2 linked regions of the Coturnix japonica genome follow. The protein of the gene in region 1 binds, or shares a complex with, the protein of each later gene. Links are inferred from orthologs where the notes say so. Each region holds a gene or a part of one and is shown in the gene's direction. Other genes may lie near its edges.

Evidence for each region. The genes of interacting proteins can lie anywhere in the genome.
Region 2: the proteins of NGFR (region 1) and ARHGDIA are in contact, whole or in part, in an NMR structure (PDB 8X8T), measured with the Homo sapiens proteins. The link is inferred for Coturnix japonica from reciprocal best matches to the Homo sapiens genes NGFR and ARHGDIA. Residues at the interface, in NP_002498.1 of Homo sapiens: Arg274, Trp275, Ser277, Cys278, Lys279, Gln280, Lys282, Gln283, Gly284, Ala285, Ser287, Arg288, Pro289, Val290, Asn291, Gln292, Thr293, Pro294, Pro295, Pro296, Glu299, Lys300, Leu301, Ile307, Ser308, Val309, Gln312, Ser313, Asp316, Gln317; in NP_001172006.1 of Homo sapiens: Ala8, Glu9, Leu11, Ala12, Gln13, Ile14, Ala15, Ala16, Glu17, Asn18, Glu19, Glu20, Asp21, Glu22, Val25, Pro30, Ala31, Gln32, Lys33, Ile35, Gln36, Glu37, Ile38, Gln39, Glu40, Leu41, Asp42, Lys43, Asp44, Asp45.

The regions. Positions count from the first base shown.
Region 1 is NC_029542.1:2,820,900-2,827,265, reverse strand, and holds the start of NGFR (tumor necrosis factor receptor superfamily member 16), read left to right. Parts: upstream 1-2,243; 5' UTR 2,244-2,299; coding exon 2,300-2,341; exon of another isoform or gene 2,342-3,578; intron 3,579-5,158; exon of another isoform or gene 5,159-5,349; intron 5,350-5,666; coding exon 5,667-5,808; intron 5,809-6,366. UniProt on the Homo sapiens protein: Low affinity receptor which can bind to NGF, BDNF, NTF3, and NTF4. Forms a heterodimeric receptor with SORCS2 that binds the precursor forms of NGF, BDNF and NTF3 with high affinity, and has much lower affinity for mature NGF and BDNF.
Region 2 is NC_029533.1:4,448,973-4,455,338, forward strand, and holds the start of ARHGDIA (rho GDP-dissociation inhibitor 1), read left to right. Parts: upstream 1-2,352; 5' UTR 2,353-2,470; intron 2,471-6,366. Other genes in the region: ALYREF (THO complex subunit 4), read left to right, coding at 560-707, 802-865, 1,019-1,196, 1,970-1,984. UniProt on the Homo sapiens protein: Controls Rho proteins homeostasis. Regulates the GDP/GTP exchange reaction of the Rho proteins by inhibiting the dissociation of GDP from them, and the subsequent binding of GTP to them.

The DNA.
Region 1 (6,366 bases):
TGGCTCAGGAGGAACTTGAGCATCACTGAACCACAACTTTGGACCCCTCTCAATGGCCAGGAGTTGCCCCTTGGCATGGCTGGCCGTGCTGTGGCACATGGAGCTGGTTGAGTGTGGGGAGACCTCATGGTTGGGGTTGGGAGTTGCAGGGTTGCAGGCAGTGCTGTGCTCTGCCAGCAGCCCTGAGGATGCTCCCTGAGCAAATGCAAGCCCAGAGCTTTTGGTTTTAATTCTGAGAGGTGACAGCTGACTTTTAAGAGGCATTTTGTCATTGCACAGAGCCAGGAAAGGGCCACAACCTTTCTGGGAGAGGAAAAAAAAAGCATGAGGTGGGGGTAAATGTAAAGCACAAGGAGTGCCTTCACCAAAGGAGCCACGCGGGTTGGGATGGAGCAGCAGTTTCCACTTACTTGTGCTGGCTGCCTGCCCAGCCCCGTGCAGATGCAGCCCATCTGAGCGGCCGTCTCTGTCCGTCCGTCTCTGCTTTGCGTCACTGCGGTGAGGTTGTTCTTGGGGTGACACTCGTGGTGGTGTCAGAGCATCATAAAACACCCGAGCTCTGCACTGGGGCTTGGGGGAGTTGCTCTTTCACATCCTTCTCCAGGGGAGTGTTGCAGCCTGGAGGTGCATCCCACAGGGAAAGGCCACATCCTGGGGTGGAGGGATGGATGAAATGGGCCCATGGCAGCAGCTCAGCTTCCCCCCCCTCCTTGCTCATTGCAGCAGACCAGCAAAGGCAATTGGTGTCATAAGACCCAAGCTGCTCCCTCAGCTGTGTCCAGCTCTGCCAGATGTCCACAAGCAGCTTTGCCCCATTGCCAATCATCCAAGCACTGAAAAGGGTGAGGGATGATTGGCTCATGGTGGGTGGCAGCCATCCCATCCCATCCCATCCCATCCCATCCCATCCCATCCCATCCCATCCCCACATCCAGTCTCTGTGCACGCTGCCCTGTCCCCACCTGGCCCTGAACCCATCACCATGTGGCTCACATGTGTTCCCACGCTGCCTCATTGGAGAACAAACAGCAGCTTTGGCTTTGGGTTAATCTTATTTAAAGAGGGACTTTCCTCAAAGCCGCCCACAGGAGCTGCCAGCCATACAAGCATCACAGATCATATACTCATAGAGTCATTAAGGTTAGGAGCTCGCTGCTCAGGAAGGAATCCAGCTTGTGTCTGCCAACAGGACAACATCGTGATCCCAACACAGTAAAGCTGAGAGATGGACAGCAGCAGGGTGACAGAGACAGACCCACAGACACCACTGCTCCATCCTATGCTAGGTGAAAGCACTGGGGGCAGAGTGACGTAAGCAGGGGGCGAAGGAATCCTTCATCCCTCCCAACCCCGGCGCCAGCATTTCTGGGCAGCCTCCAGCAAACCTTCTCACCAAAGCCACACAAAACTCGCTGCATATTTTTTCCAACAAACCTCACAAAGAGCGTTTTTGGTGCTGACACACCAAGGCAGGAGCCAAACTGAGCTGGGGAAAGGCCATGACATTTCCAGCTCCGCTCCCTGACACGCAGCTTGAGTTCACAACCACGGGGCTGGGGCTGGGCAGGATGGGGACAGAGCAGCTCTGTGATGGAGTGGAAGCACTGGGGAGCAGCACACGTTGGGGCTGTAGGACAGGAAGGATGTCAATGTGCTATTTTACACCTGCGGGTGGAAATACAAACAGGAGCAGGTGGCTTTGTGCACTGCAGCCTCTCCTGCGGTGACAAAGGGAAATTCTCTTTGTCACCGGGATTGCTGTGACAATGCTGAGTTTGAGTTTGAGTCCTGGGGATGTTACCTGTGGGATGCTGTCTCTTGGCTGTGCAGCCAGAGGGGATCTGGTCACCCCATCCCAGCTACAGCCTGGAGCCTCGCTCTGTTCTTATAATTAACGAACCCATTTGCTCACCCATCATGAGGACCGTGCTGGTGAAGGGCTGGAGCGAGGTGTGCGGAGATGGATGGACGTGGGTGTGTGAGAGACGGACAGGCAGACAGACAGACGACAGGGAAGAGTGTGTGGGGACAGACGGACGAGAATCATTGGAGGGTGGAGGGGTCGGCTGGATTGAGACCAAACACACCCGAAAACGTTTCGTGGGTGGGCGGTGGGTGCTGGGGAGGGGTCCGGGCTTTGTGTGCCGACAGAGGAGGGTGCTGGCTCGGCTGCTCGCCGTGATGCTCCGGGGGCGGAGAGGAGGAGGAGGAGGGACTTGCAGCCCTTTTCTGGTGCTGCCGAGACGGCGGGCGGCAGAGGGAGGGCAGCCCGGGGGATGCGAGGTGGCCCCGGAGCACCATGGCCGGGTTCGTACCGCTGCTGCTGCTCCTGCTGCCGACGGTGAGTGAGGGGCTGAGGGCTAAGCCGGGGGGGGTCCGGACACAGAGGGGAATGGGCATGGACAGCACGGACTGTCCCGGTCCTGCTGGGATGGAGGGGTACCATGGGACTGTGGGGTTCTGCTCGGAGGGTCCCGGGGGTATCGGGAGTGGGAGTGTCAATTGTATGGGGATGGAGGGTCCCAGAAGGTTTGGGTGCATAGGGAGAGGAGTGGTGATGTGAGTGGTGGGGGGAACACCGTAGGGATTTCTCGCTCAGCCCCTCATGTTCCGCTGACACCGAGCTGAGCTCTGCCTTCCCTTTTCTCCATAGGAGGTTATGGGAATAAAGCAGCCCCACCTCTGTGCCCCCACCTCCTGAACCCCACACCTTCAAAGACTCCCACAGACCTTCCCTTCCTGGCTCCAAACTCACTGCCCAGCACGAAGGGCAAAGCCCCAGGGATGGGCACAGCCTCAGCCTGCGCTGGAGACAAAACTTCAGAGCAAGGGAAACCAGGGAAGAAGGAGAGTCCCAGAAAAGGGGATAAGGGGACGCACTGAGCCACCTGGGGCAGAAATGGGGCTTTTGCTGCTGGAGGATGTGTGGGGTCCCAGAGGGCTCAGTGGGCAGCAGGACGCTGTAGGGTAGGGCATTAAAGCTGCTGCTTCAGCAGGCTCATGTAGAGACTGAGGGGGAGAATGGTGTGGGTGGCTCATGGCTCCAAGTTGGGTTTGGTGTCCCCCATTTCCCACAGCTAACCCCACAGGTCTGGGCTGCCCTTAGGGTTGCACCTGCCAAGCCCATCCAGCCCCATAGAGATCTGGGGTAGTTGGAAACCTGCTGTTCCTCTGAGCCCCAAGCGGGGCAGGTCCAAATGTGCACTCGCAGCTGTGGGCTGTATCCCCAGCACCCCATTGCCACAGCTCCTTACCTGCACTGCTCAGACTAGAGCTGGGTCAGGGGAGGAGGCAGAGCCCTGTGGGACCCACACGGCTCAGACGTGACTCTCCCACTGCCCAAAGTTTGGGGAGTGCTGGGATGCGGATCTTCAGCCTTTTCTAGACAGGTTGCTCCGCCAAAATACACAGAACCCGTCTGTCAGCCTTGCGGGCCGTTCGGATCCAGGCTTGCCGCTGGGCCCGTCTCCAGCTGAAGCATTGCTGCCGTTCCCCGTTTCAGAGCAGCTCAGCTTTCCGTGCCAGTGTTTGGGTGATGATGGTGCTGAGCTGCGCACATCTTCCTCCAAGGCCACCCCCTGTAGGGCAAGGGAACACCAAAACGACTCCAAAAGCAATTAAAAGCTTTCAAAGGTGTTGCTCGCACCCTCAGCGCTTCCCCCCGTGCCCTCCCCTCTCCTCCCCCCTCCCCAACCCCAGTCCAGCTGTCAAAATGCTTTATGGTGTTAATACCTGTGGCTTTGTCAACGGGAGTTGTGTTAATAACATGCACATTTCAGCGGGCTAATGCAGACCATGTGCCCCTCTTATAAGCGTGTTAATCTTTATGGATGTTTCAGCGCTTGAGATGTAGAAAGGGAAACGTAGGCGGGGAGGTTTGGGGGGTGAGGGGTGGGGGGGTGCAGCATCTGGGGCTGGAAGGTGCGTTTTCCGCATCATTTAGAAACACGGAGGGTAGGACAACCCTACGGGGAGGGGACCGTGGAGTGTTGGACAACTAGGGGAGGTCGGGGGGGGGGGGTCCGGTTTGGCACAGAGGAAACAGCGTAACCGGGTTCTGTCCCTGTGGGTTTTGCTTCGCAGCTGCCTCAGGCGCGGGCGGCGTGGGAGAGCTGGCTGCTGCGGCCCCAGCTGCACCGCTCCGGCCTTCCCAACACTATTTATAGCCAAGTTCAGATGCTCCCCTCTTCCCCAAACCCTCCCGAGCAGGAGAACATGCTGCAGGTGCTGGGGAAAAGGAAGCAGCATGGAGAGCTCCAGCCCCACTCTGCCACGCGCATCGCTGCTGCCTGGAGCCGTCCCTGTTGCAAAGAGAGCCCTTTGCTCCCCCCCACTCCTATTTCCAAGGGGGTGTTTCCATTTGGGGGGTGTTGGGAGGGTCCCTCCGTGCCAAGCATCCCACCCGTGTAGCTGGGGCTGGGTGCCAACACGGGCTGGCAAAGCAGCGCAGAAGGAGAACGCACGCTTCCAAGAGAAGGGTAATTGGAGCACTTTGTCATTCAGATGCCTATAATTGGCGCTCCATTGTCTCTCTGGCCGGGCCGGCTGATGCCGGTTGATGCGCCTATGAGTTCATAACACCGCATTGTGCAGAGCGGCGGCCAAAGGGGCTGACGAGGCGGCCAGATGAACGGGGACGTGGAGCTCCTCCGCCTCCTGGAGAGTTTCTTCCCCTCCAAAATCAGCCTTAACTTGGTGGCAAAGGGACGGTTCCCCCCCCCGAAAGGAGCCCATCCCCGACAGCAGCCTTCCCATCGAGTACAGTGGACCCGAGTGTGAGCACACACTGACCCTGGATGGTCACAGCTGCTGCTGTTGCTGTCCCTTCGGGTGGCCCCAGTTCTGAGCACTGCTCTGCCTCCTCACTGCCTCATTCAGCAGCCCAACAGCACCATCTGTCCCGACACCATCTGCCCCATCCTCTTTCCTTACAAACTCATCCCAGCTGCCACACCAGGAACTTTGGGACCCTCCAGACTGTAAGCAGGAGGAGCAAAGCCAGCCCCACACATCACCCCTGGCCAAGGAGTGCACTGGGGAATGGCCATCGCTTCTCCCTAAGCTACAAAGTGGATGCGCAGAGGTTCTAACCGCACTGCTCATGGCATATTTATTGCTTCCATATGTGATGACAGGTTTTATAAGTTAGTACACTTACTCCTGTCAGACAGCTGAAGCTCTCTGTGCTCCTGTCAAAGTCTTCATTTCCACTGAGGGGTCTGATTTCTGATCCCAGTGCAGAATTGGGACCTCAGCCCTCTGAACCCTTCACTGGGGCTGGCAGCTTTTTGCAAGCAACGGAGGGCTGAGTTGCTCAGAACAGCACAGCATCAGTAGAGGGAACAGCTCCTGTGATGGGGACATAATGCTGTAAGCCTACAGAAAAGCCAGCATCCCCCTAAGACCCACAAACCCAGACCAAGGGCTGTCATTGCCTCCCTTGATCAGTAGCATTTGGTAGAAGCTTTGCAAATGAACAAGCTTTGCATAGGAAAGTCATTTATCTCCCCTTTCTCCCAGGTCCTATACCTAACACACAGCCCCCCTTTAGCCCAGACATTGAGTATCCACCCTGCAGCAAAACCATCCCTGGATACAGCATCTCTGTCAGCCCATCGTTGCAATTCCCATAACAAGAGTCACCTCTGGGCTGTTTTCTCTCCCAGGGACCCACCTGGGGCTCCAAGGAAAAGTGCTTGACCAAGATGTACACGACGAGCGGTGAATGCTGCAAAGCCTGCAACCTGGGTGAGGGCGTGGTGCAGCCCTGTGGGGTCAACCAGACCGTCTGTGAGCCCTGCCTGGACAGTGAGTAGTGATATATGGGGCTTTTGGGGAACACCTGAATCCACCCTATGGACATCTGTTGTGTAGATGCATTTCGTGCCATTCAGTTCCATCTTCCCAATGCACAGAGCCTCAAACCTCAGCACTGTTTCCAACAGTTCCCCAAAGCCTGCCCAGCAAATCCCAGCAGCTCTCCCTGTTTGGGGACCCAATGGTGCTAGGCATTATTGCAGATCCCCTTCCAGTTCCTCCATTGCATTAATAGCTCCTTGCTAGCAATTGCCTCCCAAATTTTCCTCTCTTCATGCTGCTCTCCAACCCAGCCATATCACAGGAGCCACCTGTACTATTGCTACTTTTACCTTGTAAAGGCTGCGAAACAAAAGCAAGTCGGAGGGGAGAGAAGCAAATCATGAGTCCCCAAGAGAGGCAGGGAGCTTTCTGCTGGCCGACTCCAGGCACATTGCCTATGTCAAATGCTTCATAAATGTCGGTCGGAGCTTTGTGCAGAGCTGGTTAAATGCTTGCAGATGAAGTGGTCCAGCTATTACTGCTTAAACAATGCCATGATAGGCAGAA
Region 2 (6,366 bases), on another chromosome or scaffold:
TGGAATAGTGTTTGGGCTCTGCTGCAGGTGATATGGAAGGCAGCCTGTGGTGTCTGCTTTGGACACCTGACAATTCTGTGTGCTTCAAACATTTGAAGAGTGGGGTGTAGGTATAAACTTGCAAAGTAGTGAGATGTCCCCAGATGTACATCTTAGATGTAGCCTCTGTGAAACAAAATGGGTGGCTCCACTGTTGCAGCCTTCCATCGCTCGTGATGGTAAACGATGCTCTTCAGTAGAAGATTTCCTGCTTTCAGTTTATACAGACTGGCAATGTCCCTGGGAAGAGGAGCAGGTCAGCATACCTTGGGGCCACTTTGTTGGCTGTATACAAGCACCCTTCAAGTGGTGGATATGAAATCCTGTTTGTTTCTGCCACCTGTGGCTGCTTTCTGGAAGTCTTTAGTGGCCTGTGTTCCTTCTTTCACTGGTGCTATTTGCGTGGTGTCATGGAATGTACATGATATTGCTGAAAGCAGGAGCTGCCTGCACCTTCTCTGGGCTGCTCGGTGTTTGCAGAGCTGACTGAAGCATATTCACTTCTCCCTCTGTTTCTCAGGAACTCTTTGCGGAATTTGGGACCTTGAAGAAGGCAGCAGTGCACTACGACAGATCCGGACGCAGTCTAGGAACAGCAGATGTGCATTTTGAAAGGAAAGCAGATGCTCTGAAAGCTATGAAGCAGTACAATGGAGTCCCCTTGGATGGTGAGTCTCTGTGGCTGTCGTGTGCTTCTCTGCACGGCTGATGGCATCTGTGTGCCTGCCACACTCACAGGGTAACTGGCTGCTTTTCCTGCAGGGCGCCCCATGAACATTCAGCTGGTTACATCACAGATAGATACACAGAGGAGACCAGCACAGAGGTGAGAAGCCGCGGGAGTCGCTGTGCCAGTCAGCACGGGGAGTGAACTGGCCTGTGTAGGAAGCATGGAATCCTCCTCGTGTCCTGCAACCTTCTGAGTGCCTGTTGGGGTTAACCAGAATGCACTATAACAGTTGCTTTTTAAAAATCACAGTGTAAACAGAGGTGGAATGACCAGAAACCGTGGTGGTACAGGAGGATTTGGTGGTGGAGGTACCAGGCGAGGTAGTCGTGGTGGGAGCAGAGGGAGAGGCAGAGGGGCTGGAAGAACTTCCAAACAGCAGCTCTCTGCAGAAGAACTAGATGCACAGCTGGATGCTTACAATGCCAGGGTAAGTGCTGCTCACATGATGGTCACGGGTACCTACAGCGTCCTTTTGATAAACACTGGCAGCTGGCTGGAAAGAGAAATTGTTTTTCAGGTCATTTGACTTAAATAGCCTCCCTCTAAAGCTGAGCATTGCCCTGTTCCTTCAGCTGCCTTAGCTCTCCACATCTACTGTTACTCATGAGTAATAAATAGCCCCTTTTCCAACTTCTCCTGGCTTGTTGAAGCCTGTGTCAACCAGAATTGGCAGTAATCAAGATGTGTGATGAACGAAAGCTATGAACCAAAGCCCAAAGGGATAATAGGCTGGAAAAATGAAAAGCAAAAAGAAAAAACACATAAAATAACCAGCTTGGTGCTAAGAAAGGAAAAAAAGTCAATGATGCTGATCACCCCTAATGCAGGTGGATGAGCAGAGCAGTGCACATGGTTTCTTTCATTCAGAATGAGCTCAGATATTGTGCCACAACAAGACTAAAGTCTTAACTGAGAATCAGTTAAGAAGTGATGCAGGGACTTGGCCCAAGCACTGAGGTGCAGTTTAGGTCTGCTCAGTGTGTGCTGTGGATTGGGCTGCATCTCCGCCATTGAGGCAGCAGCATCCTGGGGTTGGCAGGCAGGGCTGGGGGGTGTCAGGGTTGGGGATGGAGCTGGGGGGTTGTGGGGCCATGGTGGGTTGTGGGGTCATGGTGGGTTATGGGGCCGTGGTGGGTTATGGGGCCATGGTGGGTTATGGGGTCATGGTGGCTGCTGACGCTCCTCTCTGTTCTCTTCCAGATGGACACCAGCTAAAGCGTTGAGCGGCGCATGGAAGGACTGCAGACATCTCATTCCATGCTGTGTGGCGGGAGGGGTGTGCGACTGTGGCTACTAATATCAAGGATGGGATTTGTTTTACTTTTATGTTTTGGAATAGGTTTTAAACTCATGTAAAGGTTTTTTTTAATTCTGAAGCCAGACCCGTTTTGTACCGAGTTATTTTTGGGATAAATTTTACTGGTTGCCTGTTGGGCCGAGGTGGCTTTTTCACCTTTGCCGTAATAAAATAGAACCGTGTCTAGAGCTCCGCCTGCTCCCTGCCGCGCGCTCCTTTCCCGCGCCCGCGCTGCGCGGCGAACGCGCGCGTACTCCCTGAGCCAATCAGAACGCAGCGTCGAGGCAGGAAGTGAGGAGCGGGACACGCCCTCGTATAACGGGAAGTGACGGGCGTGTCCCGGAAGTGCGGGGGTGCGCGGGCGGCTGGGCGGATCCCGGCGGCGTTGGACCGCGGCGCGGACGGTGAGAGCGGCCGGGACGGCGGGACCGGGCGGGGCGGGGCCAAGGGAGCGGGGCGGGGGGCGCCGGGATCCGCCATGTGCGCTGCGGCCGGGCCGGGTCCCGCGGGCTCAGCGCCACGCCAGGGTCCGGGGCGCGGCCGAGGGGGCAGCGGGCGCCGTCCGGGTGCGCGGCGGGGAGCGGAGCGAAGAGCGGCGCCTTCGTGCCTTGAGGCCGCCCCGGCCGCCGCTGTCGGACCGGAGCCGGGTGGGGACCCGCTGGCTTCAAATAGATTCTCCATAAATGGTTTCGAGCTTTGAAAGGAGGAACTTGAAGGCGACTTCCCCACGGTTGGGTTCGTTTGGCGTTAGAGCCGAGACGTCGGTGCAGCACCGGGTGCAGGATGGAGGATGGAGCGGCAGTGAGCGCTGTCCGGGCTGCGGGGCCTCATGGCCGTGCCGGAAGGATGGTGCCGTTTCCCTGCCTGGGCGGGCGCGTTGCGTGAAGCCGTGACTTCCTTCTCTTAAAGAGCTCTCGGTTGTAGCACTCAATTATCGCTGTGAGAGCTTCAGGTCCCGGCCGTAGTGCTCTATATAGTGCTCTATGGGCTCGGTTCTCTTGCAGTGGTCCCGTTCTTGTCCCAGAGATGCTGAGTGGCGGCCGCTTCCACGTGGTGCCCAGGAGACATTTGCAGCTCCTGCAGTGTGGTCGTGCTGTAGCTCTGCAGTCGTTGTACTTACAGGTGCATAGTGCTCACCGTGCAGCTTGTTTGAGTACGAGGCTGCAAGGGCTTCTTAAATCCGATAAGCAGTGGGAGCTGTCTGCTCGTTCTCGGGTGATGCTCGTGGCAGGTGATACCTGCAGGTGTTGTGCAGTGCAGGGCAGTGTCACCAGCACGGTGCACAACTGCGGATCTGGCTGCAGAGCACCTGGCAGCAGCTGCTGTGCGACCCACAGCTCCTCCCCACGCCTGGAGCTGTGACAGGGATCAGCCTTAGGGCAAGGCGGGAGATCTCCATGCTCATAAAGCAGCTCAGCAATGCTGTGGGAGCACCCAGCGCTGTGCTCCTGAGGCTAAACCTGCCTGCAGGCAGCACTGGGGGGGGGTCACTGCTCTGCTGCTGCCACGCAATTAGACCTGGCTCTGGGCAAGCTCACGTCTGGCCCCTCGAGCTGCCATCATACGGGGTGTCTGTGCTGCTTGAACTGGTTTTAGCAGCTCTTGCTTCCTGTTTCTGCAGCACAGCAGCTTATGCAGCCCTGAGATGAACCAGGGTGGTTGAACCGACCTGTGTGGGAAGTAACCTTGCAGAAAGCCACATTGGATTCCAAGTGGCTTTGCTGTGCAGCTTCATCAGCTTTCCCTTGTGCTGCAGCGAAAAAAGGAAGGGTGTGGACTGCTTGAATTGGCGCTGTGTGTGTCCGTGGCTGAGCTGAGGCCTGACGGATGTCCGAAGCCAATTAGGTCATCTGTAAAGACTCTGACCACTCTTATGTCACTGCACAAGTACCTTGGGATCGTGGCCCTGGCATGTAAAGAAATCACTGCTCATCCCTGCCTGATAACGGTGTTCTTTTCCTAGCAGTGTTTCTATCTGGCAGAAGGTGGGGCTCGTGTGTTCACTGCTGTTCGCTCCTTGGTATCGAACTAAAAATACTGAGAGAACTCAGGAGAAACTGCTGACTTCAGGAAGCGGCGCAGGCAGCTGAGTGCAGATCTGCAGATGGGAAATAATTTGGTTTCTGCTGCTTTCTGCAGGCCCCAGTAACCAGCAGAGCTTCCATTTCCAGACATTCTGGGACATCCCTGAGGCCGCAGTGCTCTCCTGTGGTTGAGTGCAGGGTGGCACAGAGGCAGCAGCTGCACTGTTCTGTGAGCCAGGTGTGTCTGCAGTCAGAGCCATGGGCTCGGGCGGTGCCGCACAGGGTGTGCAGGTGCCTTCCGGGTTTCAAAGTTGCTGAGGGGGAATTCCTTGCAGAGGCCTTGGGGTGGTGCCTGGGTGTGAGGCTCAGGGCTGAAGGTGCCATTGCTGCTGGAGGTTGGTGTTCTGGGAGGTTTCAGTCACGAGGCTGAGCCCTCTGAAGGGGTTGTGGCCTCAGGTCCCCGTTCCTCTGCCCCCACCTCTGCAGCAGCATGTGCTGGAGCCATGATCCTACAGGACGTTGGGCATGGCATGAGATGGATGCCCGACCCAGTGTTCCAGTGTGTTGAGTCCCTCAGCTCTGCTCTGCCTAGCAGTACGACAGCTCCTCCTGCATGCACCCGACCAGCTCTGTTCTACTCATTCTAGGCTGTAGGAAATGCATTGTTATAGAAGCACGGAGCAGCCTGATGCTGCTGGGAGCCTCCTTTCTCCCTGGCAGAATACTCAGGGCAGCAGCTGAGCACTGTGATGTGAGGCTGCACAATGCTGTGTGCTGGGAGCAGGGTCAGCCGGGCGCAGTGGGAGCACGATGCCATCAGAACACTGCAGCAGAGGGGCTGTGGTGCAGCCAGCTCCATGAGGCTCCTCCAGGCCTCGCTGCACATTTTTCCTGTGCTTCCTTGCAGAGCTGAGACCCAGCCTGTCTTGAGCTGCTGTTTGGAACATTGCTTGCTGTTTCTGGTAACTTTGGGTCAGTTTGAAGAGCCACTTTTCACCCATGGACTTCCATGGGGTGCTCGTGGGGGAGGGAGGGGAGGGGTGAAGTCTGGCTTGGAGCTGAAACTGAGGGCAAAATGAGATTAAGCACTGGAACAAATGCTTGAGTGAGTGTTTGTTGAACACTTTTGGGAGCCTTCAAGCCTGGAAGCTTTCTTGGATGGGAGCCTAAAGGAAATGACTGGTTTCGATATGGATTTTCTAGGGTGAGAGCTACTCGGTTGCTCATGTATGGCATAAGATTTGAATGTAAATTTCCATGGCAATCAGTGCCAGGGACCTGGAGAATCCCTTTCTGCTGGTAGAGCTCAGTCAGGTTTTGATGCCCGCTGCAAGTACCCTTTGTGCACCCATGTTGGTGCCCCAGCCTCCCTGGGAGGTGCTGCCAGCCCAGGGCAGCTCAGATTTGCTCTTGTGTTTGGCTGGGGGTTCACCCACACGGGATCTGACAGCACCTCATCTCAGTGCCAGCATTGAGCTACAGCCCTGGTGCTGTGCTGGAGGCCGCTCTCATACCCTGGATCAGCCATAGTCATCAGGCAGAGATGTGCAACATATCACTCTAATTTGTCTCCTTGGCAGAACATTCCTAATATTTATGGCTAAAAACACCATCTACACATACCTCTGCTGTTGTGCTCTTGCAGCTGTCGCCAGGCTCAAGATGGAGGCAGACACAACTTGTCTTGTGTCACTGCACAATGTGCTCTGTGAGCTGTGTGTGCTCAGTGCCAGCGCTCAGGTTTTTCTCTCCCTGTCTGGGTGACACATTGGGTAGGAATGAAGTCGTTGAGTTAAGGGCTGTTATGTCAGCTAGTTCCAAGAGGAGAAGAGCAAATAGCAGTTGGCTTACGTAGCATAGCCTGTGCTGCAGACTTTGGGTTTTCCTTTACAAGTCAGCATTTCTGGATGTATCCTGGTCTTCTGTGGGGGCACGTGGAGATCAGAATTAAGATCATAGTGTTGATTTATTTGGAAACTGGATGGCAGAGCAAAGAATGCAGTTTTCCAGTCTGAGTCATGTGTGCTGATACACGACTCCAGACAGGAATGCAGAATGGGACGTGGAAATGCCAGGTAATAACGGGAATACCTGCATCCATCTGCACGTCATTTGTGGAGGATTTTGTCTGAGAAGCCTTTCAAAAGTTGTCAGCTGAGTGTTTTTAAGCCCTCAGAGCAGTCCAAGCTGATGTTTGCTGTAGGATCACCCGTAGGGCAGCACTCCTTGTGATGCATCAGGAATTACTGACACTTTTTCCTGGTGTTTTGATGGCT